Linked DNA regions of Rattus norvegicus. The protein of the gene in region 1 interacts with the protein of each later gene in a pairwise test. Links are inferred from orthologs where the notes say so. Each region holds a gene or a part of one and is shown in the gene's direction. Other genes may lie near its edges.

The links.
Region 2: the proteins of Txlna (region 1) and Stmn2 interact in binary tests that used the Homo sapiens proteins (3 or more experiments, as listed by UniProt). The two-hybrid records come from large-scale screens. The link is inferred for Rattus norvegicus from reciprocal best matches to the Homo sapiens genes TXLNA and STMN2.
Region 3: the proteins of Txlna (region 1) and Tcl1a interact in binary tests that used the Homo sapiens proteins (3 or more experiments, as listed by UniProt). The two-hybrid records come from large-scale screens. The link is inferred for Rattus norvegicus from reciprocal best matches to the Homo sapiens genes TXLNA and TCL1A.
Region 4: the proteins of Txlna (region 1) and Stx1a interact in binary tests that used the Homo sapiens proteins (3 or more experiments, as listed by UniProt). The link is inferred for Rattus norvegicus from reciprocal best matches to the Homo sapiens genes TXLNA and STX1A.
Region 5: the proteins of Txlna (region 1) and Cdr2 interact in binary tests that used the Homo sapiens proteins (3 or more experiments, as listed by UniProt). The two-hybrid records come from large-scale screens. The link is inferred for Rattus norvegicus from reciprocal best matches to the Homo sapiens genes TXLNA and CDR2.
Region 6: the proteins of Txlna (region 1) and Dtnb interact in binary tests that used the Homo sapiens proteins (3 or more experiments, as listed by UniProt). The two-hybrid records come from large-scale screens. The link is inferred for Rattus norvegicus from reciprocal best matches to the Homo sapiens genes TXLNA and DTNB.
Region 7: the proteins of Txlna (region 1) and Cep57l1 interact in binary tests that used the Homo sapiens proteins (3 or more experiments, as listed by UniProt). The two-hybrid records come from large-scale screens. The link is inferred for Rattus norvegicus from reciprocal best matches to the Homo sapiens genes TXLNA and CEP57L1.

The regions. Positions count from the first base shown.
Region 1 is NC_086023.1:147,266,474-147,270,445, reverse strand, and holds the start of Txlna (alpha-taxilin), read left to right. Parts: upstream 1-1,172; 5' UTR 1,173-1,285; intron 1,286-1,735; 5' UTR 1,736-1,741; coding exon 1,742-1,907; intron 1,908-2,604; coding exon 2,605-2,943; intron 2,944-3,972. UniProt on the Homo sapiens protein: May be involved in intracellular vesicle traffic and potentially in calcium-dependent exocytosis in neuroendocrine cells.
Region 2 is NC_086020.1:95,156,536-95,160,642, reverse strand, and holds the start of Stmn2 (stathmin-2), read left to right. Parts: upstream 1-1,307; 5' UTR 1,308-1,333; coding exon 1,334-1,352; intron 1,353-4,107. UniProt on the Homo sapiens protein: Regulator of microtubule stability. When phosphorylated by MAPK8, stabilizes microtubules and consequently controls neurite length in cortical neurons.
Region 3 is NC_086024.1:129,889,263-129,892,756, reverse strand, and holds the end of Tcl1a (T-cell leukemia/lymphoma protein 1A), read left to right. Parts: intron 1-1,054; coding exon 1,055-1,225; intron 1,226-1,584; coding exon 1,585-1,632; 3' UTR 1,633-1,644; intron 1,645-2,082; 3' UTR 2,083-2,994; downstream 2,995-3,494. UniProt on the Homo sapiens protein: Enhances the phosphorylation and activation of AKT1, AKT2 and AKT3. Promotes nuclear translocation of AKT1. Enhances cell proliferation, stabilizes mitochondrial membrane potential and promotes cell survival.
Region 4 is NC_086030.1:27,282,472-27,285,971, reverse strand, and holds part of Stx1a (syntaxin-1A), read left to right. Parts: intron 1-1,367; coding exon 1,368-1,505; exon of another isoform or gene 1,506-1,621; intron 1,622-3,500. UniProt on the Homo sapiens protein: Plays an essential role in hormone and neurotransmitter calcium-dependent exocytosis and endocytosis.
Region 5 is NC_086019.1:184,956,237-184,960,287, reverse strand, and holds the start of Cdr2 (cerebellar degeneration-related protein 2), read left to right. Parts: upstream 1-1,251; 5' UTR 1,252-1,329; coding exon 1,330-1,405; intron 1,406-4,051. Other genes in the region: Mfsd13b (transmembrane protein 180), read right to left, coding at 483-636.
Region 6 is NC_086024.1:32,285,230-32,289,281, forward strand, and holds the start of Dtnb (dystrobrevin beta), read left to right. Parts: upstream 1-1,252; 5' UTR 1,253-1,522; exon of another isoform or gene 1,523-1,537; intron 1,538-4,052.
Region 7 is NC_086038.1:46,874,048-46,878,111, reverse strand, and holds the start of Cep57l1 (centrosomal protein CEP57L1), read left to right. Parts: upstream 1-1,264; 5' UTR 1,265-1,323; coding exon 1,324-1,368; exon of another isoform or gene 1,369-1,494; coding exon of another isoform or gene 1,495-1,614; intron 1,615-4,064. Other genes in the region: Sesn1 (sestrin-1), read right to left, coding at 1-182. UniProt on the Homo sapiens protein: Centrosomal protein which may be required for microtubule attachment to centrosomes.

The DNA.
Region 1 (3,972 bases):
CATGTAGGAGCACGTGGTACTTTGCAGAAAGTGGGGCAGGGCTGAGTGGGAGTTTACCAATCCGCCTAAAGCCAAACCTCCTTGCTACAATCCCCTCCTGAGGATCCAAGCTGGTGATGTCAGAAGGCGGGGCATACTTGGTCTCAAAGCCTGTGATGGCGGAGAATGGTTAAGATGGGTTTTAGTTGGATCTGAGGTAGAAGCCAGCATAGTCAAAGACTAACAGCCAGGGCTACACGGAGAAACCCTGACTGGGCTGGGTGGAATGGAATGGGGCACTGGGGAGAAGATTAAGAAAAGGATGGGTGGTGTCAGGCTTCCAGGTTTGAATCCGCAATAAGCACACAGTATTGATGGATGGAGCCATAGATTATTTACCCTTTACCTGGGCATGGTGGCCCGTGCCATTAGTCCCAGTCTTGGAGAGACAAAGACAGGCAGAACTCTTGAATTCAAGGCCAATTTGATACACCTAGAGAATTCGGGGCCTGCCAAAGCCACACATGAGACATTGTCTCTAACAAACAATAGTACATACTTTTTTCTTTTAATTAGCCTTTTCCGTACTGCCCTATATTTCCCAGATCTCTGAGTATAATGTTCTTTCTCTGAGTAATTATGAGGACCAAGCTATTACATACGAGGGAAGAACACATTGTTTGGATTATTATAAACCTTCTACTGGAATGGAGAGGGGAGGGATACTAGGCACATAACAAATTAGTGGTTTGGGCGTGAGATAAATATCTCCTAATTCACAGTTTACCCTTCTTTCTCTCTTCCACTCGCAAGTCCTCAGAGATCCTAAAATAGTCATACATGTTCATAAGGGAGTGTATGAAAAAAAATCCAGACTGCCAAAGTTTAAGGGCCAATCATAGTTTCTGTACTAGGAAGGAGGCTGACACGAATCTCTAGACCGAATGACATAATTTCGGACCCTCAGGGTATTTGGCTCCTAAGCTTTTCGGTTGCATCTCGGGAGTTGTGACCTGCCGCAAGGCATGAAGGGACTCGTAGTTTTTCCCACTCCCGCCTCCAAAGCCGCCTTGGCCTCTTTTCCCAGCAAGCTCCGCGCCAGCGTTTGCTGTTGATTGGCTGCCGCAGGAGAGGGTGGTCCAGCTGGCAGCAGTTACCCAGGTTTCCGGTGCTCGGCCAGAGTCGGGGACGCGGTCGGACGTCCGCGGTGAAGTATGTCTTTGGGCTGTACACGGGACGAGCTCTTCAGAGGGTCCATGACCCAGGACGCGTTAGCCGCGGAGGAACAACTAATTCTGTGGACGGGGTGGGGAGAGTTGTGTGCTGCCGTGCTGCGCATGCGTACTTCGGGTCTAGAGGGCGCGTGGGGTGTGGGTGTCTTCTGTGTACGCGCGCGCGCGCGCGGGAATCCCACGTGGGACCTGGTGGGGCGGGGGGCCGGTCGGGACTGGAGCATCCCGCCACGTCAGTCTGCGGCTCTGAGCCAATCCCGCGCTCCCGCTGCCGAGAGGGAGCCGTGTGGTGCTGAGAAGTGGCATTCAGGAGAAGGGAGGCCTCTTCCTTCCTTCACTCTGTGCTGGTGCAGCTTCTCGGAAACCTTGCCCGGGACCGTGAAGTCTCAGGCGAAGGCCGACCAGTTTGTTTGAAGCTTAGAGCTTCAGATTTGGAGATTTCTCATCTAGGTTGTGAAGAATTTTGAAGTCTAGAAAATAGCAGCGGTGTCCGTAAAGGATCTACCCCTTTTCTGGCCTTGCAGATCACAATGAAGAACCAAGACAAAAAGAATGGGCCTGCCAAACACTCCAACCCGAAGAACAGCCCTGGGCAACGGGAAGCAGGACCGGAGGGAGCTCATGGACGGCCCAGACAGACAGCTCCTGGTGCGGAAGCTGAAGGTTCCACAAGCCAGGCTCCTGGGAAGACCGAGGGTGTGTGCCAGCTCTGCTTTTCCAGTGGGCAGAGGGAGGAGTTTCTGGTACTTGCATCTATCTGAGGCCAGTATTTACCCAGGAAGGAGGAACTATAGAATGAAACAATGCCCATTCTGTGATCCTCATGTTTCCTAGGGAGGTGATGAAGCTTTCCACTCTTAGCCCTGGAACGGAACCTTGGGGGCATGCTCTGACTGGTTTAAACCAAATGACAATCAAATGAGGCGCCCCATAAGCAAAGTCATATTCCCACTTGCCAGTGCCCGGTGATTAATTGTCCTTCATAAGACAGAGCGTCTGCTACACGTCAGTCGTCCCTCTTGTAGGGGTGCTTTACACAGTTGTCTTTGATGGTCATAACAAGTATGTTTGGGTGTTAGAAATAATTGTTTCGTCTTATAAAAACGTTTTATACGACTTAGGGTTTAAAAAAATTAAATTGAGGCCAGGCATAGTGGCCCTCACCTTTGTTCTCAGAACCCAGAAGTCAGAGGCAGGTAGATCTGAGTTTGAGGTCATCCTCATCCTCATAGTGAGTTCCCAGACAGCCAAGGCCCTGTAGAGAGAGCCTGTCTCAACTGAATAAATAAATGGAACGTTTAACCCACACAAGTGGTGTTTGTCTGGGCTTAAAGAAGAAGAAAACCCAAGGGAGCGGTGTAACCACCTAACGTTCACTGTCTTCATCTTGTAGGCGCTCGAGCTAAAGCATCTCAGTCTGGGGCCCTCTGTGATGTCTCTGAGGAGCTGAGCCGACAGTTGGAAGACATTCTGAGTACATACTGTGTGGACAACAATCAGGGAGGCCCAGGTGAGGAGGGAGCTCAGGGGGAGCCCACTGAGCCTGAAGACACAGAGAAGTCCCGAACCTATGCAGCCAGGAATGGGGAGCCTGAACCGGGCATTCCAGTCGTCAATGGCGAGAAAGAGACCTCTAAGGGGGAGCCTGGCACAGAAGAGATCCGAGCAAGTGACGAGGTTGGAGACCGAGACCTTCGAAGGCCACAGGAAAAGAAGAAAGCCAAGGGTCTAGGTGAGGGGGAGCTCCTGCTGACGGGAGGGAGTGAACACTTGCCATCTCATGGGCTAGCCTGCTCTGTCTGGACACAAGAGAATCTGCTTTTCAAGACAGTACATCCCCCCAGTTTAGTCAAAGATGGGGTCATCCCATTGAGCTGTTCAGATCACTCACTTGTGCAAGGCCTCCTGGCCTTGGGAGCCAAGTGGAGGCAGGAATCCAACTAGCTTTCTCACTGGGAATATGGAAAACCGGAGGGAGGCCTAAGTGCTCGACAACACCACTTTCAACCTGCTGTTTGACTTTGGGCATGTTTATTCTCCACTCCTAGAGAGGGTCTTAGTTTCCCTGTTTGTACAGCAATAGAATTGGGCTACACCAAGGTTGAAATATCAACATGGACCAGGTAAGCCACAGACCTCTTCAGAATCAAGAAAGGGCCTTCTTGATCTGAAAACCTGACTCCTACCTGGTTAGTCCCCCAGTCGCATCTGACCAGCTGAATAATTGGTAACCAAAATAATAGAAAGTAAGCAGAGGCCTCCATTGGTTGGATTTGCCATCTCCGTGTTACCTTTTGGGCCTCCCAGGGCTGACAGCTCAGAACCTGGTCTGTGCTGAGTACAGTGGAACCCAAGGGAGACAGCTGTAAGGCTTCCCGGCTGAGGTAAAGCAAGGCAGTGGCAACCTGGCACCATGGCGTACACCTTTAACCTCAGTACCTGAGAAGCAGGAGCAAGTGCATCTCCTGAGTACCAGACCAGCCAGCTGCATAATGAAACCTTATCACAAACAAAGGACAGGAGTGATGGGACAATGTGAAAATACGAACTTAGAACCTAATGCAAACCAAATATGGTAGTGTATGCCTCTAATGGGGAACTAGGAGGAACAGAAGCAGGAAGATGCTGAGTTCAAAGCCAGCTTGGGCTACATAGCAATACCCTCTCTTTGTGTGTGTGTGTGTGTGTGTGTGTGTGTGCGCGTGTGTGCGCGTGCGCGTGTGTGCGTGTGTGCGCGTGTGTGCGCGTGCGTGCGCGTGCG
Region 2 (4,107 bases), on another chromosome or scaffold:
GTAAAGTTCAGTCTTGTACATTAAAAGTCCTAGGACTTATATCCCTAAGGCTTTTTCTCCAGTGCAGTGCAGATGCTCAGTATATATATATATATATATATATATATATATATATATATATATATATATATACATACACACAGTTGTGGCTTTTTTGGAGTTCCATCCACTTCACCACAGCTCTGTATGATTTTCCAAAGAGGGGATAGGTTAGTATAAATTACTGTAAAACAGATAGTGAGTTATTATTGATTGGATAAGAGAGTGAGATGGATTAAAAGATTCATATCTATCTTGACTGATGCCTTTTATTAATATATATATTAATACATATATATGTATGAATTGAGAAAAATTGGACATTTGCTAAATGTTTTTTAAGTGAATGAATAAATGAATAAGTAAATGCCTTGTTTATAATTTGTTTCAAAGTTCGTTGCACTTCATACTGCTTAATCTGACTGTGAATGCAGGGAAACCATTCCTAGTCCAGGTTCTCCTGCTCTCTTGCATCATGTCCTTAGGTGGAATTTATATCCCTGTGCCCAAGTAGCCAACAGTTCTCTCCTCTATGTTAGAGAGGAAAGGCCAGGCCACCCCCCTCTACTAGGAAACTTTCCTGAGATTATGGACTATGGAGCCCAACTATGCAAGAAGGGAAAACGAGTAGCCCTGGCCATATCTGAGCTACTACCACAATCAGACGTGGGCTAGTTTGGGAATTCCATCACCTATTAGGAAGGTCAGGATCTACCAAGGGCAAGGCCAAAGGTGAAAGAGAAAACAAGAAACAGTAATAACATAAGCTTTAAACCACTTTTCCGACACTCGGCACACTGGGGTGAGTTTTCAGGCCCCTGGGCCTTCTCTTTGCCAATCTATGCAGTGACACATGTTTGAAGCAAAGTATAGCCTCCTGGGTACAGATAAGCACAGCCCAGTCCTTAGCTCCTAGGAGGCTTCCTGGCTAAGGCACCACTGCACTTGGACTGTACTATCGGGCTCCAAACTGGGGGGGAGCTTCCAGGCAAGAGCTGATTTCCATTTCAAACTGCATTCTGGTACTTTGTACTCCAGCACCATTGGCCGATCAATATTTAATGCTTGGAGATTCTGACTCTGCAGGAGTCATGTCAGGGGACCCTGAGAGCCAATCTGCTTGAGCTTCTGCGTGATAATTATTCATGGGCTCCTGCCTCTCGCTCTTTCTCTAGCACGGTCCCACTCTGCAGACTCAGTGCCTTACTCAGACTCCTCTCTCGCTCTCTCCGCGGCTACAGCTGGACCCTTCTCCTTCGCCTTTGCCACCGCTCCGAGCGTGCACATCCCTACAATGGCTAAAACAGCAATGGGTAAGAATCGCGCTTCGCTCCCCACAGGCTCTATCTGGAGCAATCTCTCCCCTTTCTCTGAAGACATTAAAAGATATTTTATAAAGGGAAAGACATTCATGATACAGGAGCTGGGAAGGTCGGCGGGAGCTCTGAGAGTAGATAAGAGACTAAAGGGGAAGGGGGGTCTTTGAAAAACTAAAGCAAATGGTTTCTTTTTAAAAGATAGAAGCAGGTAAGTTTTCCTACGATGGGCAGAAATTTTATTCTGCTTCCATATTTAAAATTTAAGTGCCATAAGAAGGGAGGGGGCTACCTTAACGATCTGCCTTCAGTGAGGTGAAGGGACATTTCGGAAAGTGGTTTGGAACGCCCTATATTTATTCTGTAGTTTAAAGAGAAAATAGGAACGGGAGGGGTGATACTGGAATAAAAGAGAAAATGCAAAGTCAAAGCGGTCCCATCCGGGAGGTTTGAGAGATGGGTGGGAACGGGGGAGGGGAGTGGGCACATTTAATGGTATTGTCTCTCGGAAAAATCGCTAGTCTTGGGGCGCGGTGCAGGGAGGTAAGGCGGCCGGAGGGGTGGGGTAGGACCTTAGCTTCTTTGTTTTAGGAAAAGGGAGGGCAAACAGAAGGAGGGCGTGGAGGGCGCGGGTGGGCAGCTGCAGGGGCGGGGAAGCCTGCGCGGTGGGGAGGGGTAAAGGGACCTGGCTTCCCAAGGCGCCGGGGTGGGGTTTCTTTGTGTGTGAAGCTATGGTCGGGGTGGGGGGGGCACCTGCAGCGCTGGGCACACTATGCGGACCGCCCCACCCTGTGAGGAGTCAAGCGGTCCCCATCCCTACCCAGCTCTGCACCCTCAGTAAAGGGGGCGAATGGGTAGCCCAGAAAGACACTGAAGAACCCAACCCTGGGGAAACAGCGGAGTCCCGCCACGCCCCACTCACTCACTAGCAGTCTGCTTGCCAGAGACCTGACCACTAACCTCAGACGCTCCACCCTGGCCTCATTGTTCTTCATAGGACGAGAGGAGAGTGGGTTAACGTATTTTCTCAGAACCACGTTAAATAGGATGTTTAGACGTAGTAGCAAAAGAAAAAAATCAGAAAAGAGAAAGAAGCGAGGTGGGGAGCTATTCTGAACTCCTTAGATCATTTCGGGGGGGAGGGAGGGAGGACGTTTAGGGAACTTAGAAGGGTAGACAGAAAATAATACAGATAAAGAAGTGTAAGGATGATATAAAGCAAAAGAGGTCAAGGTCTTTAAGATGAACCACGTGAAATTTCAATTTTATGGGTCAGACGGAGCCAAATCTTTTGGGCTATGTAAAACCACTAGAGTCCAGTCCAGATCCAGGGCCTTCATTCGGAAAAGGTCCTGTGCTTCTCTCGTTGCCCTGGGGTGCACAGGCTGGAAGGGACCTGCACTGGGGAGGCGGCCGGAAGGCCCCCTCCCCTAGGCCGGGCTGTGGATGCACAGCAGGAAAAAAGATATGGACTGGCTCCACCCTGCCCTGCCCCACCCTGTCTGCGGAGCCCTGGAGACTTAGGTTCCAAGCTGGCTCCCACGAACTTGGGTGGGGCTGCAGAACAGTGCAGTCCTGGCACCCCTCTTTCTAGCCCCGCCTTTCAGAATAGCCTCGAACCCCTCAGGGTGTGCAGACACCTGGCCTGGCTCAGGGTCTCAGGGCCAAGCCCATCCCTGCCTGGCCACACAAAGACGCAGCCGCGCCCTGCCGGGCCCCTGGACCACAGAGGTGACCCCTTCCTTGTGGTTCGGGAAAGTGTCCTTGCCCATGCAGAACCCAAGGACCTTTTTCCAAGCCCACGGCCTACTGTGTTGCGGGATATGGACCCCACCGAGGGTCCTCCAATGGGGCGTGGCTCGGCCGCACCCCTCGCTGCTAGAACCAAGGCTGTGAGCTTGGCGAGCACGCACGTGGCGATCGCGCGCGTGGACCCGGGCCAGCCCTGCAGTTCTCGCCTTCCTCTCGGAACTGGGTGCTCGCCCCCGCAGGAGTATCCCAGAGGAGGGTTCTGCGCAGTGTCCTGAGGTACTCTCAGTTGCCACAATTGGCTATCAATCCGCTTGTCCGCAAGGGTTCTGATGGGGGTTGGGGAGATTTTTCTGCTGTCTGTACTCCCACGGAGTGGTTTCAGCTGCAGAGGACTGGCTAGTTACTTCTCATCACCAGAATTGTGATTCCTTGGAAATCATCATGATTATTAGTTTAAAACTCACTTATCTCCTCTTAAGTCTCCTTTTTTTTTTTTTTCCCCAAAAAGGATACTGGTCCCTTTTGGTACGGATTAACCCCTTGCCACTAATCTCCCTGATCATCTTCACCAACCTCCACCCTCTCCCCATTCCCAACCCAAAGATAATTTTGTCTGTGGCTATTCATTTAAGTTTCTATAAAGCAAATACATTTTGACTTCCCGTCGCTGTTATGTATGTTCGTGTGACTGAAGTGTATGTGCTGCTGCTTGCTAAGGAGAGCCTGTGTACCAGATGATTGCTGGAAAATTCTCCACAGAGAATTGTTTTTTTGTTTCAATGGGCAAAAATTATATATACCTGAGATGTTATGCCCCTCCACAAAAGGAGATATATATTTAAATATAGATTTATGCACGCAATTTTTGTTTTCCCCCAAAACTCCTCTTCCAAGTGCTTTTTGATACAGTCTCAATTCTACCCAGAAACAAGTATCGTGAAATGGTAACCGCCAACCAATGAAACTCCCACCCCACCGATGACAGGTGTAAAAGTCCCTT
Region 3 (3,494 bases), on another chromosome or scaffold:
GCCATGCTAGTGAAGGAGAAATGTTGCTGTCGCCAGATTCTAAGTGTTAGAAATGAGTGTGTGTGTGGGGGGGGGTGCAGGGTGTCCTCAAGAGAATGATCACACAATCCAAAGACATGAAGTTGTATTCCTGCCAGAGTGGTCCAGAGCCTTACACCCGTTGGTCAACTCCATGCCTATGTGGTTGAGTGACTCAGAGCTGCACTGTTGGTCAGTGAGCGAAGCATAACTTTGAAAACAGATCGCAACCTTAAATGCATACTTAGATCTTAGAAAACTTCGGGCTCTAAGGAGGGATTTTTGCTCATGGGTCCCATGCCAACCTCTTTAGAGGTGGTGGCTCCTTGATCTCGTTTAACCCTCTGATAGGAAAGACAGTGCATTTCACTTACAGTTTCCACAGCAGGTCCATGGACCGAGACCTCATTTAAAAGAGGACACTGGACAAAAAGATAACCTGGCAAGGCTGGGTAAGGTTGCCGAAGTGTTCGTCTTGTAAGTATGAGGATGGCTATGGAGACTGCACTCAGGAAGCAGCTACACGCAGATCTCTGGAGCTGACCAGCCAAACCATCCAGTTTTCATTTGGTTGGTTTGGGTTGGGCTTTGGTTTTGTTTGTTTGTTTGTTTTCTTGTGAGGTGTTTTTGGTGAACTCCAAGCCAATTAGAGATGTTGTCTCAATAGTAAATAGACGAAAGAAAAAGTAGATAATGTCCAAGAGATGACACCCAAGGTTGTCCTCTCTGCTGTGCATGCATGACCCTCCCCATACACACTCTTGGGACCAAACCGGAGGGCTGCATGGTTTACCCTAGCAACAGGAGGTTGGCAGGAAAAGAGCACCCTGAGGATGACTAAACCCAGGTCCAGCCAGAGTTCCTAAGATTGTGCATGGGCTATAGAGTTGGGTCCAGGGTTGGTGTCTGTGCTCAGGCTGTGGGGATAGCCCCACGCCCCCCGAGTGACAGAATGGCTGCTGGTGGTGTGCTCAGAGGAGCCCAACAGTAGTCAGCAGGAGGCAAAGGTTGTGTTCTTTCTGTTCTGCCTCTGCAGAGTAACGGAAAATTCCAGGTGATCATGCGACAGAAAGATGTCATCTTGGGGGATTCCATGACCCCAAGTCAGCTGGTGCCGTATGAGCTGCCTTTAATGTGGCAGCTATACCCTGAGGAAAGGTACCGAAGCAGTAACTCCGAGTTCTGGCAGATAGTGTACCACATCAAGGCAAGCACCTCTTACCCCAAGGACTGAGTGGGCAGTCTTGGGTGATCCTGGTCTCTGGTCTTGGCATGGGCTAGCTCTATATTCCCTCAACCCTGGCACCAGAAGCTAATAGAAGGGGAACTAAATGCAGATGTTTCTCTAAGGGTTGGATAAAAGAAGCCATCGTCTGAGGTCTTAGCCAAACCCCTTGTCACAAGGAACCCTCTTGTGGTAGTCACTGACAGTCCCGTTGAGAGGGCTAGCCACCTCACCTCGGGTCCCAGTACTAACCCAGGCTGAGGAAAGCTGAGCCAGAATGAAAGGGGAATTCTCAGGGCTGGTCTGACCACTCCTTTGTCTCTCTCCTTCTCTACCCTCAGTTCAAAGATGATGAGGACATGCTACTTGAACTGTTGGACTCTGAGTAACGTTGAGACATGGTGAGTGCCCCAAAGCTCCATCTGGAGGAAGGAGGGCCCTTCTCTATGAAAGCTGTGACAGCCCCTCCCCAGCAGCTGTCCTCAGAGTGCCCAGAGTAAGACAGACTTCCTGGAAGTGTCCATGTCTCTCCTTTACCACCTGAGGAGCTCCAGCTACACCCATGTTTACAGGGCCCCATTGTTCACCATCAGTTGTCTATTAAGAGATGACTGCTGAGCCATCCCACCATCTCAGCTGGGGATCTGCAGATAATTACACACTGAAGCAGGTTTCTCCATTTTTTTTTTTCTTACCCACTCCCTTCACGGTGGTGCTGTTTGGCCCTGACCCAGGCATAAGATCCAACTTCAGCATCAGGAGCTGACTAACCACCCACCCAGCAATCCCCAGTGCCTGCTCCTTGGCTGTCCCTCTGACCCTGCCTTCTCTCTCCCCAGGCCCTGCAGCTCCTGTCTCCCTTGCCCAGGCCTGAGCCCACAGGGGAGATGCTGGTACTTACATTTGCTCTGTTGGCTAGGCATGTTCTTTCTCCTCCACACTGGGCTCCAAGAAGAAAAGTCCATCCAGAGGCTGCCCCTTCCCATGTTCCTGTCGCCCGCTCTGCTGCCTTGGTTGGCCCTTCCACTCTACCGGCTCCCTGGCAAGGGGTTCAGGGAAGATCCCCATTCTCCTCACCTCCTCTAGGTGCCCAGTGGTGTCTGCACCTCTGATCTTCTCAGCTGATTGATTTTTTTTTTCTGCCTTTCCCTTTTGCCTCTCAAGACAACTAGTGTCTGGCTTGCCAGTTTGCCTTCCCAAGGGGCCCTCAGTTGTACATATGCCATGAGGGACGAGACCAAGTCATTTGAATCCGGCAGACCCCAGGTCCGCCATCTCTCAAGGTGTGCTGTGGCGCCTGTACCCACCTGGCCTGTGAACCGTCACCTACCCAACAAATGCAGACGTGGTTGGAAAGCAGTTTAAGACCAGAGAGCTCCATTTCCCTGTCGTAGAACCCGGGTGCTTGCAGCCAGGGATATGCAAACCTCACTAGAGCAGGAGGCCAGGGAATGGAGCTGATTTAGATGAGCCCTTAGCTTGCCCACTCTTGGCCTCTCTCCCTTGGTGTTCAGATACTGTATTGAATATAAGCACTTCCTGTTAACCGATTAAATATCTCACTCACCTAAGTTGGGCCGAACTGGCTTCTATCCTTGACCAAGATGCCAAGAAATAAGAGAGAAGACTGCTCTGGGTTCTCCCAGAGAAGCCGTGGTCTTCCAGTAAGAATGTTGAAAGGGAATGTGTGGGATTTTATATGTTTCTATTTTAGAGATAAGGCCAGACTTAATAAAGCTTTATAGAACTCTATAAATTCTCAAACCTCAGTGCTCTCAGAGTTATGATTTCAGAACCGTTGGAAGCGGCAACAACCTCAAAACCGTCCTTACTGGCCAGTCCTGGTACCCAGCCCCCTTGATATGATCCTACCTTTGCCTCAAACCCCTGAATACCCTCAGGTCTGGAATGCTGTCCTTCCAAGTGTGCGTTCTATTTCTCAGTCCCAGCCAGGTCTCTTAAGGTGAAACTCCCACCACCACTTTCACCCCAGCCCTCCCTCCCTCCCAACACCCATGCCCTCAGACACAGTCTAACCCAGTCACAGGCTAGCCCCTCTCCCCTCCTCCCTGCCCTGTTCTCTGCTGGTTGTCATGACCTGCTGGTCCTCACTCTCCTTAAGAGTAGGGCCTCAGAAGACAAGGGTTACCTTAGGAAAGGAGCCAGAAAGGGCCTTGGGGCATCCTGCTTCCTTCTTATCTCTGTACAGTGCTAGTCCTCAGCTGCCCCAAAGATGTGGTTGGATAAGGAA
Region 4 (3,500 bases), on another chromosome or scaffold:
CTTTAAAAAAGAAGAAGAAGAAGAGGAGGAGGAGGAGGAGGAGGAGGAGGAGGAGGAGGAGGAGGAGGAAGAAGAGGAAGAAGAGGAGGAAGAGGAAGAGGAGGTAGAGGCAGGAGAATTAAAAGTCGAAGCTTAGTTTTAGCTGTATAGCCTGTTCCAGACCAGCCTGGGATTCATGAGATCTTGTCTCAAAACAACCCCATCAGGGCCAACAGGACAGCTCGGCAGGTACGAGCACCAGCCACCAAACCTAAGTACCTGGATTCGATGCCCAGGCCTCTCTTTGTGAAAGGAGAAAACTGACTCCTGTCTGGCTTTCACGTGTGTGCAGTTGGACATGCTTGCATGAGCATACATACATACATGTGCAACAAGTAATAAATGCAAATTCTTTATTTTTTTTGTTTTTGTTTTTGTGTTTTTTTTTATTTTGTGCAACAATGTTTCACTGTGTAGCTCTGACTGTCCTGGAACTCTTTGTGTAGGCCTGGGTGATTTGGATCTCACAGAGATTGGCCTGCTTATGCCTCTCAGGGACACCATGTCTGCCATAATAAAACAGTCACGTGGCGAGCACTAACTGTGGGGGAGTGTCACGAGCTCCTTCTTTCAGACAGGAATCAAGTCCCACAGAGACTCAGCAATGGTGCCAGACAGGAGGTTGGAAAGGCTGTGGCTGCTGCTTTTGGGAAACCTCTACTCACTCAGCTGCCTCCTCCTTGGCCCCTATTCTAGTCTCATTTCTATCGCTGTGAGGAAAAAAAAAAAGCAACTCAACGGAGAGGGGTCATGTTTTAGCTGACAGGATTGAAGCAGCTAGTCACCTCGCAGTCAAAGTGGAGAGAGAGAATGAATGTTTGCATGCCTAGTGCCCAGCTAGCTTTCTCTCCCCATAGCCCAGGATCTTCTGTGTAGGGAATGGCAGCACCCACAGTGGGCAGGGTCTTCTCACATCAGTTAACATTGATAATTAAGACAGTCCTTCATCGACATGTCCCTAGCTAAGCTGATTTAGGTCATCCTCATTGAGGAGAGACTCTCTTCCCGGGTGACTCTAAATTATATGAACTTGACACAACTCTCGAGCCTGGAGAAATGACTCTGTGGTCATTATAAACGCATTAGTCCTTGCTGCTCTTCTGGAAAACATGAGTTTGGTTCCTAGCATTCATGTCTGATAGCTCATAACCACCTGTGACTCCAGCTCCAGGGCCTCTGACACCCTCCTCTGGCCTTCTCAAGCACCAGACTCATGTGCATATACCCAGACAAACATATATGTATAGATTTCAAAACAAAAAAGGACAGCCTCCCTTACAGTCCAGCCCTTCTCCTCAGCATCAGGGTCCCTCTGCTCTACCCTGTAGATCATCATGGACTCCAGCATCTCGAAGCAGGCCCTCAGTGAGATCGAGACCAGGCACAGTGAGATCATCAAGTTGGAGAACAGCATCCGGGAGCTACACGATATGTTCATGGACATGGCCATGCTGGTGGAGAGCCAGGTGAGGACCCTCGTCCCCGATGTTGCCCTCGGTCCCAGCAACATCCAGGGCCACACTAACCCCTTCCCTTTCCACCCAACACGCTGCCCTGCCCGGGAGGGACAGAGTATCTTCAGGTAACCATACTGTTGTAAGGGCCTCCAGGGATCCCGTTGCATGGCTCTGCTTGCTCCCCTAGGCCCTGCATGGCCCCACCTCTCCCTCCAGCCCTGTCCTGGCTTCATGAACTACATCAAGGGCCACTATAGACTGGCTGCCTTGCTTGGAACAAAAGGCATAGCAATGACCATGCATGTGCGTGTGTGCGTGGACCTTATACTTTTGAGACAGGGTCTCTTGTTGAATCTGGAGTTTACCAAGTCACCTATACTGGCTAGCCAGTGAGCCACAGATCCCCTTGTTTCCAGCTCCCAGAAGTTGGGTTACAGGTATGTGCCACTGTACCTGACTTTTTACATAGGCGCTGAGGACCAAAACCAAGGTGCTTGTCAACTGAGCCATCTCAGTCCCCATTACCTGACTTGCAAGTTTTTCCTTTCTATTTTTTTAAAAAAAAAAAAAAATTCTCGAGACCATATCTTGCTATATAGACCAAGTTGGCCTTGAACTCATAAAGATGTGATTGCTTCTGCATGCCCCATGCTGGGATAGGAGGACGTGCCCATGGCATAACATATATTCACTCAGAACTTGGTCTACTCAGGGCTTCCTTTGCCCAGACACACGTGTATGGCGGAAAGGGACCAGCTAGGAGGGGCTCCCAGGAGCAGCAAGGAGTGACGTCCAGCTGAGGGACCAGCAGTACCAAGAGCTCAGTAAGAGGCTAAGCTTGAGGAGACAGGAGGGCTGAGGGACCCAGGGAGTGGTCAGGGCCAACCCAGAGTTGGAGACAGATGATGTGGTAACGGGTAGTCTCATATACGCCAGCCTCAAATTTACATAGCTTAAGACTACCTTGAACTTTTTTGTTTTGTTATAATTTATTTGTTTTTCATTTTTTTTTTTTTTGGTTCTTTTTTTTCGGAGCTGGGGACCGAACCCAGGGCCTTGTGCTTCCTAGGTAAGCGCTCTACCACTGAGCTAAATCCCCAGGCCCTTTTTTCATGTTTTTTTAAGTGTATGAGTGGTCTGTCTTCGTGAACACCTGCATAGCAGAAGAGGGGATCAAATTCCTTTGTAGATGGTTGTGAGCCAACATCTGACGCTGAAACTCAAACTCCCAGACCTCTAGAAGAACACCAAATGCTCTTAACTGCTGAGCCATCTCACCGGCCCAATCTTGGACTTTTTTAAAGAATTTTTTTTTCTTTTCTTTTTTTCGGAGCTGGGGACCGAACCCAGGGCCTTGCGCTTGCTAGGCAAGTGCTTTACCACTGAGCTAAATCCCCAACCTCTTAAAGAATTTTTATTTATTATTTTAATGCGTGTGGGTGTCTTGTCTGTATACATGTCTGGGCACTAAGGCCTGGGACTCCTGGAGGCCAGAAGAGGTATCTGATTCCCTGGGACTGGTGTGATGGATGGTTGTGATTTGACAAGTGGGTGCTGGGAATTGAACCAGTGTCCTCTGTGACAGCTACCAGTGTTCATAACCACTAAGCCATCTCACCAGTCTAACACTGAACTTTTTTATTTAAAAAAAATTTTTACTGAGCCATCTTACCAGTCTAACACTGAACTTTATTTAAAAAAAATTTTATGTCTGTGTCTGTCTGTGTATCTGTGTCTATCTGTGTATCTGTGTCTGTGTGTCTGTGTATCTGTCTGTGTCTGTGTAGCTGTCTGTGTCTGTCTGTGTCTGTGTGTCTGTCTGTGTCTGTGTATCTGTCTGTGTGTCTGTGTATCTGTCTGTGTCTGTGTGTCTGTGTCTGTGTATATGTCTCTGTGTATCTGTCTGTGTGTCTGTGTATCTGTGTCTGTGTGTCTGTGTCTGTGTATATGTCTCTGTGTAGCTGTCTGTGTCTGTGTAGCTGTCTGTGTCTATGTAGCTGTCTG
Region 5 (4,051 bases), on another chromosome or scaffold:
TCATTCATTTATATAGAGAAATAAAATTAACTCTGAGGATCTGTAACTTCTTCCTAGCAATTTCTGTTTTAAACCATAGTAATCTGTGTACACTATTTTTAAGGCCACGACTGATGCTTTTTTTGGTTAAGGCAAACTTACAACTGCTTTCCACTTTAGTTTTGGTGACACTCCGGGTCTATGCCAAGGAGTTAATAACTTCAGGAGATATCTACCAAATCAGTACTACCAAACTGAGTATTTACTCTTCTCCCCTCTTCAGTTGCTACAATTCCTTTCTCCATAACTGTTATCAATTCTAACATCCCAAACATCTGCGTCGACCTTTCTCCGTCTGAGAGTTTCCCAATGTGAGGTACCCAAATATGCTAAAAGTCTAACCCAAGAAACAGTGGTGAAGACTGCGTCAACAAGCTGACTCTGGCAAGCTGGCCACCAAGTACAAGGCCTGCTCCTAGGTGTTTATCTTACACTCTACGAACCTTTAAGAAATTCTATGCTTTTAAAACTGTGGTAACTTTTCTCAGGGGAGGCGGCTTTGACTGGCCAGCCCCAGACTCCAAGTATGAGGTGGGGCTGGTGATTGCCCTTTAGGAGTTCACGTCCATGCTCCTGGGAGGCCAAGGGCTCCGACATTGAGGAGCAGCTTTCTCTCAGTAGCGTTCTCTCGCCTTTAACCTCGCAACGGACCCTGAGTCTCCCTCCGCGCACCACCGAGGACAGGGCGGAGAAGAGTTGACCCGCATCTGAAACCCTCGTGTGGGAAGAGGATGCCCGGTGCCCAGAATCCGTAGTCCTCGGCACACTGGATCGGCTTGAAACCTCCTCCACACTCCGGAACTGGAGTGCACTCAACTGAGGAGACGCGACGCAGACAAAAGAGGAGGAGCTGCCGACCGCACCCTCTTCGCCTCCCCGCCTCCTTTGTTCCTTCCTAAGCCTTTATTGGCTGATGGTCCGCGGACCCGCGACCTTTTTTGATATTCTATTGGCTGAGGTCGCTGTCACTCTACAAGCGGCTCATTCGTGATTGGTCAAGGCGCCTCCCGGGTTTGAATCGTCTCCCCGGCTTGGGAGGGTTCTGCCAAAGTGCCACGTTGGGCCGGGCAGCGGGCTTGAGGAGCCGGCTCCCGGCGCCACCCGGGGCGCGCTCGCTAGGGCGCGGGCCGTTGGGCGGCGCGGGACGGCGGCGGGAGCTGCAGCGGGACCGGCGCGTCCCGCCCGAGGGTGGCTCTGGCTGAGGGTGGCGGGGTCGGGGGAGAGCCCGGGGCAGCGGCCGAAACGGCAGGGCGGCGGCAAAGCCCGCTGCCCCCGGACGTCCCCGGCGACATGCTGGCAGATAACCTTGTGGAGGAGTTCGAGATAGAGGATGAGCCCTGGTATGACCACCGGGACCTCCAGCAAGGTGAGGGCGAGGTCGCTGGGAGGTTGGGGGTGGGAATCCGGGGGTGGCAGGTGTGGAAAGTGCTAGAAAGTTCCTTAGGCTGGAGGTTTGGGATGCGCGGCCAGGGGCTTCTCGCGCTCACCTGGCAACGGATCCGCCCATCCCGACCTCAGAGAATAAGCGCGCGCGGCCCACGGCCCTGCGGATGCGCCACCCTGGCTGATGCTTGGCGCTTTAAGAAAGCGCTTGCGGAGGATGAGCGGATCCATCCCCTTAGTGGACTTCTGAGGTGGGCAGGGGTGAACCAGCTTGACTTGCTCTAGAAGTGAGCTGCTGACCTGGCTCCGGGTCGTGCTGCCCTGCCCGCCCCACTTCGCCTTTCATGGTCCGCAGACTCTGCAAGCCGCTGCAGGTGGTGGGGGGGCAGTACTGCTGTGCGGTACCCGCGCCATCACTCTGTGGGAATAATTTTTTGTTATCCCGTTTTCCAGAAAGCAGAAGCTAAAAGATTTAAGTGGATTCCCCAAAGCCGAATATGGGAGCGAGTATTTTTGATGCCACACACACTTGAAATGAGGAGTCTGTAGACACTTCAGATCTTAGCATCCCAATTTATAACCTACCCAGTGTTAAACTCTGTGTGTGTGTTTTAATTTATTACTTAGCCATCATTCATCAGAGGCTAGATGAAATTATTTGAGGGCAGCTCTATCATGTCCTTATCTTTGCATTCGGATTTTCAATGAAAAATAATCCTTCCTTGGACATCTCCAGAGACAATGTCAAGAGTGTCCCCAGTCTGAATCCAGTGGCCCATTTTCTTCCACATTCATAGTAGGATTTTGTGTTTGAGGACACCGATAAACCCTTAACACCCTGCTAGACTCCTTTAATTCCCCCAATAGCACCAGGTGCTGCAATAGTTACCTCAGGCTGAAGTGGATATTGTCGGGGAGACTAGGTATTCACTGTAGACTCCAGAGTAGACATTCTTAACCACCATACAGAGGGGTCCTCGGGAATCCTTTCAAGCATCCTGCTTGTGCTATTCTGTGTAATTATTCCCACTCCAAACTTTTCGTGAAAATTAATATCTTTTTGAGTTGGCTGTTAAACACCAGTGAATCTGACAGGGGCGGTGGGGGACGGGGGTAGTTTTGAGCTTGAATGACCCGTACTTAGAAAGTAGAAAAGGAAAACAGGTAGCTTTTTGGAGAGGTGGTAATTTGCTTTTTTTTTTTTAAAGTTTCTGTCTGTCTTGATTTCTTAATGTGCAAATGACCTAAGCCCAAACAGATCCTGTACTACTATAATTGAAGCTGCCTAGCAGCTACAGTGCCAGTTCGCTGTCACATTTCTCTGTGTCCAGAAGACAAGTTTGTTAGACATTTAGCCTACTTCACACTGGTCCCGTAAGGATTGATGACCTGCTTTGATACTTGAGGACTGAAGCAACCACGGTGAGATTGCAACATTTTATTATATGAAAGCAGTTCCTATAACCCAAGCAAGAGATTCTTCTTTACCATATTAAAGAAGAATGCAAAACCTTCAAGAACAGACCGGTCTCCCATATCTAACATCATATATAACACATCATAATAGAAACTTAATTTAGTATTTGTTGGCCTGAACTGAAGCTGTCACACAACAGCTCTCCAGTGCCCTGGTCCACCCATCAGCCAAATCCCCCTCCACAGGAGGTTATCAGGAACAGACAGTTGTAGTATCTCAGTCTACTGAGTGGTAAACAAAATATGTTTGGGGCTGTTTGTGGAATTCTTAACTTCTGATCTAGATGAAGGTGTCACAAGTCTGAACAAACCCTAACCTCTGGGCTAATTTACTACTGATTTGCATTTGGGGTTTCTTGTGTACTTTCCAAAGGTTTTTACATCTGTTATCACAGTGGACTTTGCCATGGCTTCCGTATCATAAACATATAAAGTACAAATGGAAGATATGAAATCCTGTTAGCTCATTAATATGCCCCTGAAAGAATGACGGCTGCTCATTTGAGCATCTGTTCCCCCAATTTTGCTGCCTTATATGTTAAACAGTTTTGCGTATATGGTGTGCTGGGATTGAGGCCAGGGCCTCAATGCATGGTAGGTAAGCAGTGTACCACAGAGCCAGCTTAGATCTACCTTTGAACAGAGTTTACAATTGTTTCTCAAGAGCATACTGTTTTTTCTAACCTAGGTATTAATGTAGGCAGTGACACCACTTGCTGTAGCCAGCTATTAGAGAGGAAGGGCTCTCACTCTGTGTGCTGTTCATGAATCTACTCACCAGAGACATCTGGAGATGCTAGTAAATGTACACCCTTGGCATTTGCTGCTAAGTAGTTTGGGAACAGCTCTTTCTCTGTGCAGATTAAGGAACTCTAGTCGTTTATCATGTGTTCTGCATGACCTTTATTAACTTATGTAGTAGATTCATATTGGATACATGGCCTAAAATGCTTTACAAAAATATTTACAATAGGCTGGGCCCTCCCACACCAGTCACTAATTAAGGAAAAAACCCTACAGGCTTATGTACAATCCAATCTTGTGGAGTTATTTCTCAATTTTGTCTCTCTCTCTCTGATGATAGTACTATACTGTGTGTCATATTGACACGCAACCAGCCAGAGTGTATGTGGAAGTCAGAGGAAGACTTGTG
Region 6 (4,052 bases), on another chromosome or scaffold:
GGCACTCACGGGGTGCAAACATTGCAGCCCAAACACTCATACACATAAAATAAAACATAAATGCTTTAAAAAAGGATAGATGAGTTGGTAATAAATATAGATACATAAATAAATGAAGCTTTGTCGCCCCTGCTCCCTTGTCCAAGCTGTTTAATGTCCAAATACTCCCACTTTCAGGAACTACTGAACGACTAAGCGGAAAGTAATCTGTCCCTCCTCATCCTCTCACCGCATCCGGCTGTGGCTTGCCTTTGCGCAGAGGACCGGACTCGGTCCTTCGCAAGGCTGCTCTTCTCCCTAAGTTATGCGCTCTTGGGGACCAGGGCCGTGACCCAGATCGTGTCCACCGGGCACCAGGCGCATGAGTTAGTGCTCAAACGAGCCTGCTGAGGCAATGTGGAAAGTCACTCGGGGGAGGACCCGGCGCTCGAGGCGCGGGTGAATGATTCACCGGGTATTTCTTCGCATTCCTTACGGTTCAGTCACGTCGGCGCAGCACCCAGCCGCCCGGCAGCTACCTGTGGAGTGGAAGCGCACCTCCGCCTCCACCTCCGCCTCCGCGGCCAGCGCACAGCAGAGGCCCGGAGGGGGCGCGCAAACCCGCGGGAGGGCACTCGGCCGCCTCCCCGCCCCCTCTGGCGGCGGAAGCCCCGCCCCTCCGCGCGCCCGCCCTCCGCGCGCACCCGCCCTCGCCCTCGCCCTCGCGCCCTCGCGCCGGGGGCGGGCTCGCTGCGCGTGCCGGGCGGGGAAGCGGCGCGAGCCGGCGCCAGGAACGTTCGCCGCGGGGGCGGCTCCGGGGCCTGAGTGGGCGCCGCCGCCTCAGTCGCTGCCGCTGCTTCAGCTGCCTCTGCCGAGGGGGCCGGGTCGGAGGAGGCTGCGGCCGCCGGAGAGCCACGCGACGGCCCCTCAGCTTCGGCCGGGAAGCGAGCCAGGTGGGGAGTCCGCCGGGGCTGGAGGAGCGAAAAGGAGGGCTGCGGGGTGGCGGAGCGCGCGGCCCTGGAACGGCGACCCTTGGGAGACCGCACGCCGGGCCGGAGAGGGCTCTCCGGTCACCCGGGCGCGCGGGGGGCCGCGGAGCGCAGAACCCGGCTGCGCGCGCTGCTGATGCAGCCTGAGCCGGACTTGCGGGGAGGAGGCTCAGCGTTAGGTGCTGAAGGGGGCGAAGGCGGCAGGTCCTGGCAGAGGGCAGGTGAGGTAGGCAGGCCCTGGCAGAGGGGAGGGAATTCATTCCAGATCACCTCTCAGTGTCTCCCGAGGCTCCCGGTAGACGAACCTGTCTACTCAGGTCACCTCTGATGGGCACAGTGTCCCGAGAAGAGCGAGGATGCAGCTGACGAATGCTTACTGTTAAATTCCTGTGCCAGGCCTTGGGGAATCAGGGAGACCTTTCTAGCATTCTCTGCAAGCGTTTATTGATTAGCTACGGAGCAGGAGAGAACCGCGGTCAGCGCCCGGGTCACGACTTTATCACTCTCAACCATCATTTATTTGCTGTTGAAGTGCTGACAGTCCGGCTGTGAAAGTATACACACAAAATGTAAAGTGCTCTATTTTATGTTTCTTGTTCTGTTCACTTCAGGTCTCTTTAGGATTTTCCCAGCCCTGGGAAACTGGGCCGTAAGTTGCTTGGCTTGTGGAGAAAGTAAGATACTTGAGGAAAGCTGGTGGGAGCTATTGGGAAGAGATTTGAAGGGTCTTACTGACATTTAAAAGAGAGGGGAAAGAAATTTGGAAGGAGAATCTTGCCTTCCCAACTAGAATTAAGCTCCGCGCCTGTTTTCTGCCCAGTCCTCAGGATGTGGCCTGGATCCCGAAAGCCCTACAATGGATGCCCACTGCAGGAGTGGATGGAGGGACCAGGGTTTGATACATTTGATATGAAGTAGTGTCAGTCTCTGTAGAGTTAGGGATGCTCGCTGGCTTCCTTTGGTCCTAGGATTCTCTTTTTGCCTTCTCAGGTAACCCAGGGTTTTAGACGCTAAACCAGTGGCTTAGGTGGCAGACTCCGGTGGCTTGTGGCCACTTCTTCATCCACGCGGTTCTTGTATGTTGTGCACCAGAAGCTTGTTCTTTGGGTGGCTGCTTGAAGTCAGGTTCCGGTCCTTCTCTCATTGGCCTTTTCCCCCCTCCTCTGTCGTTTGAGGAGGACTGGAGGGAGCTTTTGCCTAGAGAACACTTTATAATTTCTATCCTGCCTCTTGGATCTTGGTTCTGAGGTGAGAGAATGCTTAAGTCTCTTCAGGTCTGTAAGGGCTGGAGTTCTGTCCTCTGCCTTGCTTGGACTCTCCAGCCCCATACTGCTGCTTCCTTTCCCTGGCTTGCAATGCCTGTTGGATTACTTTGCTTGCCAAATTAAAACTTGACCTTTTATGTGTTCTCTGAGGATTTTTATCAGACTTAAGTGGAACTGCCTCTGAAGGGGTTGTGCAGGCAAGGTGGTGCTGGCAGGGTCTTTAGCTTCACTGAATTTTGCCCGGGAGACAGAATATAGTTAAAATATTAGAGTGCGCAGGATTTCCAGTTACCCTTTATTTCATGTCTTCAGATGTTAACATATCTGACCCTTAGTCTCCTTATATAAAAAATAAGAGCAATATTAATCCAAATTTGTCATTGGATATATAGAAGCCTTGAAGTATATTCATTTAGTTCATTTTAATTAGTATTTGCATTTCAGGGTACAACCATTAAGTCTCTCTTAGGTTTTGTTTTGGGGTGCCTATGTGGCTTTGCAAATTTGGGTGTCTTGTTTCGGGCACTTCTAATATTTTATTTAGATATTTAATTTACATTTATTTGAAAATAAACCCTCTACCCCCGGTTTTTGAAGCAGGGTCTTGCTGAGTAGTAACCCCAGCTATATTGGTACTCGAAATACAGTAGCCCAGGCTGTAAGTTGACTTTGAACTGTGGCTATCCTTCTGTTAGTCCTTCCTGTGAAGCACCATGGCTGGTTAAAACAAACTTTTTGTTTGTTTGGGTTAAAGATAGGGTCTCTCTCTGTCATTCTGACTTTGAACTTATGTCTATTCTCCTATCTATGTGTCCTGGGATTACAGGTGTGCACTACTGTGCCTTCTTCATGTGTAGTTTACATAGGATAAAATGGATAGACTTTGCATATTGAGTTGGGTATTTTGAAAAAATGGTACATATTGGTGGGCATGGTGGCATATGTCTTTAGATTGAAGTCCTTAGGAGGCAGAGGCAAGCTGATCACTTCAAGTCCAGCTAGGGTTACATAGGAAGACACTGTTTCAACAACAACAAAAAAAGCAAAACAAAGTAACAAAAGTCCCTCCCCCAAGAAAACAAACAAAAAAAGAAAAGACATGTGTACTTTGTAACCTATCCCAATCAAAATATATACTTTTGTATCATGAGAAAGTTAACTCCTGCTGTCTTGGGGACAACCCCTCCCTCTATTTTATTAACTTAAAATTACATAAGCATTAGAGCTGTGGTTTCTAGATGTGCTGGAGGTACGCTGCTGTTCTAGGGTGTCTTTTGCACTGGAGTCTCTCTGTGCTGGCAGCTCCTGGAGTTGCAGTAGTTTGAGCAGTTCAGAATGCATATTTGCTTGTAAATTGCTCCAAATAAAACTCCCTTGACATACCTACTCCTTTTTCTACTCCGGTTACCAGTTTGTTGTTTTCTTCCCAGGCCTTTTTCTATGCATTTTACTTTTTTTGCATGTGTATGTGGTATGGGGGAGTCTGCATATGGTATCCATGTACCATACATTGTATATGCCTGTGAAAGCCCAGAGTTGACACTGGAGGTTCTCAGTTGCTCTCTTACTTATTTATTAAGTTCAGCCTCCTCCTGAACCTGGAGCTGGCCAATTTGGCTAGTCTAGCCAGTCAGCTCGTTCTGATGACTCCTGTCTGTCTCTAGAGCGCTGGCATTGTAGGTGGCTGCTATACCTGCCTGGCTTGTATGCGGGTTCTAGAGATTTGAACTCCAATTCGTATATTTGCGTGGCAAGTGCGTTATCCACTGAGTCATTTCCAGCTCTCTTTGCATTTTACTATAGCATTCTGTCTAGGTTG
Region 7 (4,064 bases), on another chromosome or scaffold:
CCATCCAAAGAAACACCATTTGAAAGCCCGTCCGAAGGTCGAGAAAGTGTCTCTTTGGCAGAACGAAGGTACTCGGTTTTTCTCAGAACAATCTGCCTAACGCTTTCCAGTGCTGTCTCTCTAGTAGTTGGGTCTCTACTGCACAGACCCTCCCACCTCACTTCATTCTCTCCTTCGGCCATGACTGACAATCGTGAGCTTTTTCTTTTTCAGTCTTTTTGAGAGAGAGATTGGTTAAGAATAAAGTCAGAAAAATCCAGCGGTCACGAAAGCAGGCGTCTGGATGGCACTGGGAATCACACGTGCTTTTTTAAAGTTGATGCTTTCAAATCGATCCACAAGGCGGTTCACCCAGGCACCCTCTCCCACACGAAAGGGCAGTCTTCTGACAGAGATGGAAAAGAACCAACTTGGAAAGTTGCAATCTCACAGAGCTGGTTAGCTGGACAGGGAGTCTCGGGGAAGTGCTCTCGGTGTCGCAGGGTCAGCGGATATCCTCGCGTTGTGGAGCTGTCAAATCCGTGCTTGGTCCCAAAAGGCTGGTAACAGTAGAAGGTTCTCCAGCCATTCGATTTTTTTATTTTTTGTCTGTGCAGCGGCCAGTTTTCTAGTGTTCCCACCCCGCCCTCCTCCGACACCAGTCTCCGCCCCTGTCGGCTCCTCCTAGCGCCTCGGCAGGGCAGCGGGCGGGCTGCTGGCGGGGGTAGGCGGTAGACCCTGGCCCTTAGCTGCTGGGGCCTGAGGCTCCGGTGCTCCGGGGACTCCAGTGCCCACCAGTCACTGTGTCAGCGGCGACAGAGGGCAGCGTCGCCGACCCTGCCGGTTCCTGTCTTCCGGGGTACGCCGTGCTTCTCTTACCCCTCTGTCCTCGCCCACCTCCGCCAAGCCAGAGGGCACCCAGCGACCCAGCAGTCATCGAGCCCCGGGCTGCGCTGCTGAAGCACAGGGCCCCAGGCACAGAGCCCGCCCCTTCGCCCAGCCCCGTCGGTGGGGCTCGGCCCAGAAGGCGGGAGCAGGGAGGGGAGACGGGGTCCTCACACCCAGCCCCTCCCCTGTCCCCGCCCGGGACCGCCGGGAGCCGCCCCTGCCCCATGCCTGCCTCTCCGCCCAGGCACACGCGACCCGCAAAGGCAGCCATTGGAAGCAGCCCCGCCCTCGGGCAGAGTACCTCCGGACCCCGAGTCCAACGCGCGCCGCCGGCTAAGGCCGGCTGCTGCGCATGCGCGACGCCGGCCAAGGCGCATGCGCTCTCCGCGGCGTTGTCCGTTCTCGACGTTTGGAGGCGCTGGCTTGAAGAAGGGTAAAGGAAATTAAGGAGTACGGATGCCCCGAGATGTTTATCGCACAAGAAAAAACGAACAAATAAAGGTGCTTTGTAGTATTCCTAGTATAAGTGGGATATAATTAAAGATTAGCCTAAAAATTAGTGACAGCCAAGCCCCAGATTCAGTAGGCAGGGCGTCTTTGCGTTGGCTTTCGGGAAATGTAGTTGTAATGCTACCGACGCGCTCTGTTTGCGACAGAAAATACAACTCCCAGATGCCACCGCGACACTCGTCTTTGCCCGCGAACCAACGGTTCTGGAGGCCGTGGTTAACTGGGAGCGTCTGTCTGGTAAGCGTGGTAGACTTGGCTGTGAGCCGCTCATTGGAAATGGTTTTCCCCTGAAATTTTGGTGCTGAAGCCATCTGGGATTGCTTTCTTTCATTCCAGAGCCTTTCCCCAATGGCTTGCCGGGAGAGAAATAGTGCAGGCGCTAAACTTGGTGGGTGACTGGAGCAAGGATTTGGGGATAATTGTTTGGAAGGTCGAGGAGCAGCCTTAAGACAGGCAAGCTGGGGAAAACAAACGACGCCGCTGCTTCCGCAATCCTCTTGCACGGGATCTGTAAGATTCGAGAACACCCCTCTGAGCCCTACGTTCCGGATGTCACACTCGTTTGAATCTTACGGAGCCAGTTCTGGATGGATTAGGAATCCCTACTAAGCATTGCAATTGCACCTTTGTTCTTACAGGGGTGTGTTTTGCGCTGTGTTTTTGCTAAGTCAAATAGAATCCGAAGGGATCTTTGAAAGCAAGTCCGTTTTGTGTGAGACCGAGAAGAACTCCCAAATGTCCCTAGGTTCGAAGTTTTACAAGCTTTGAAAGGTTCTGTATGAAAAGAAGCCCATAAAAACCTCCCAAATGTGTTGTCTTTGAGTGATGTGGACATTTCTCAGAAGGTGTTGTGAAGTGTTTATACTTGAGAAAACTCAGATTTGGAAGGTTTGTCTAGTAAGACTGGTAATCGGATTAGATTTTAATCCTTTGTTTTACAGAGTAAACGTAGTCATAAAATATTGATCAGGGACTGGAGAGATGGGGTGGTTGTTTAAGAAGGCTTGTTCCTGGGGCTGGGGATTTAGCTCAGTGGTAGAGCGCTTGCCTAGGAAGCGCAAGGCCCTGGGTTCGGTCCCCAGCTCCGAAAAAAAAGAACCAAAAAAAAAAAAAAAAAAAAAAAGGCTTTGCTAACCTAGGACTAATCCTAGAAACTTCTAGCTTCTGTAGAAGCCTAGAATGTTTTCAGCTTCTGAGACTTACTGCTGAATAAGCTCACCCTTCCTGGCTCTCTCTGAACTCTGGCTGGCTGGTTCAGCGCCCAGCTGTTCTGACTCAAACTGGCATCTCTTGCTTCTGACTGAATTACTCTGCTTGGCTTCAAACTCACTCACTCTAGCGAACTGTTCTAACCTTCTGCTCCTGCTCATTCAGTCTTTCCCTGTGTCTAACTTGTTCTCTCTTCAACCTGCCTCTGTAAAACTCCCAGTAAAGCTCCCTTCCTTCCTCTCCCTCTGCTCTGCTCCCTCTTATGTTGCCTCTCTCCTTTCTCTTTTCCTGAGAGCTGGGCATATCCTATTCTATCAAATCTTTTTCTGATTCGTCACTTTGTCTGCCTCTCAGTTTGAAAGTAGACATCACATGGCTGCTTCCTTCTACAAACTAACTTTACCTTCATTGTTTGGGATAAAAGGTGTGTGCTAAGGGCATGTCAGTGTTCTAATCTGAGTAGCCATGTTGCTGGATTAAAATCCCACCACAGGCGAGTGGAAAAGACATAACCCCTCATCGTATTAGAAAATTAATGTATAAAATAAGTTGTGATACTATTTGATATTGTTGGCTGTGGGAACATTTAGCCCAATCTTAGAAAGTCAGGGAAGTTTTCATCCCAAGGAAAATGAAGGCCAAATGAATAGCACAAGGCTTCAGCCAACAAGTGCCTGCTGACTGCCTTCTGCTCAGTAGGGCGTCACTGAGCTTGTAGTCTAGGAGAGCAAATAAGAGTGCATGGCAAAGGAAACAATGAAGCAAATTGGAAAGGAATGAAAAGTGCTTGACTGGCGAGAAAAGGTTCCCCTTTCAGTCTGAGGAGGATCCTTGATGGCTTGTATGTGCTGGCTGCCCACATCAGCCACCTCAGCCACCTCGGGACAGCTGTTAGAAGATGAGCTAGCAGGGTGGAGTTGCCTTTATCCAAAGGCCTGCAATACTGAGAAGATGGTTTAGCCTCCAATCTGGTGTGTGTGCGCGGGTGGGGTACAGAGGACTCTGCTATTGTGGAGGATGATGCAGACAGTGAGCAGAGAGTCCGTGCTGGGAGGGGGAGTGGTGTGGAGTTTTCTCTGCCTTGTTCTGGGTGGGCTTAATTCTCCAGAGCGTCACAGGGGACCAAGGGCCCATGGTTTTTGTTTGGGGACATGGGCTGTTTTGTTTGTAGGCCCCTCCAGTTACCTTTCTCTGAGTTAATTTATGTGCTTTGCATTCTCTGACGCTACATCAAATCATCTCATGAATCATCAAAACCAAGGGCTTTTGGGAGTTCTGAAGGTCATCCAATTTAATCATCCCGGTGGGACTAAAGATTCCAGAGGGACACGAGGTCTGGGCAGAGGAGACAGGGGAAGACTGGACAGAGAGGGACCTACTTGAAAATACGGCTTTTTTTTTTTTTTTTGGTTCTTTTTTTCGGAGCTGGGGACCGAACCCAGGGCCTTGTGCTTCCTAGGCAAGCGCTCTACCACTGA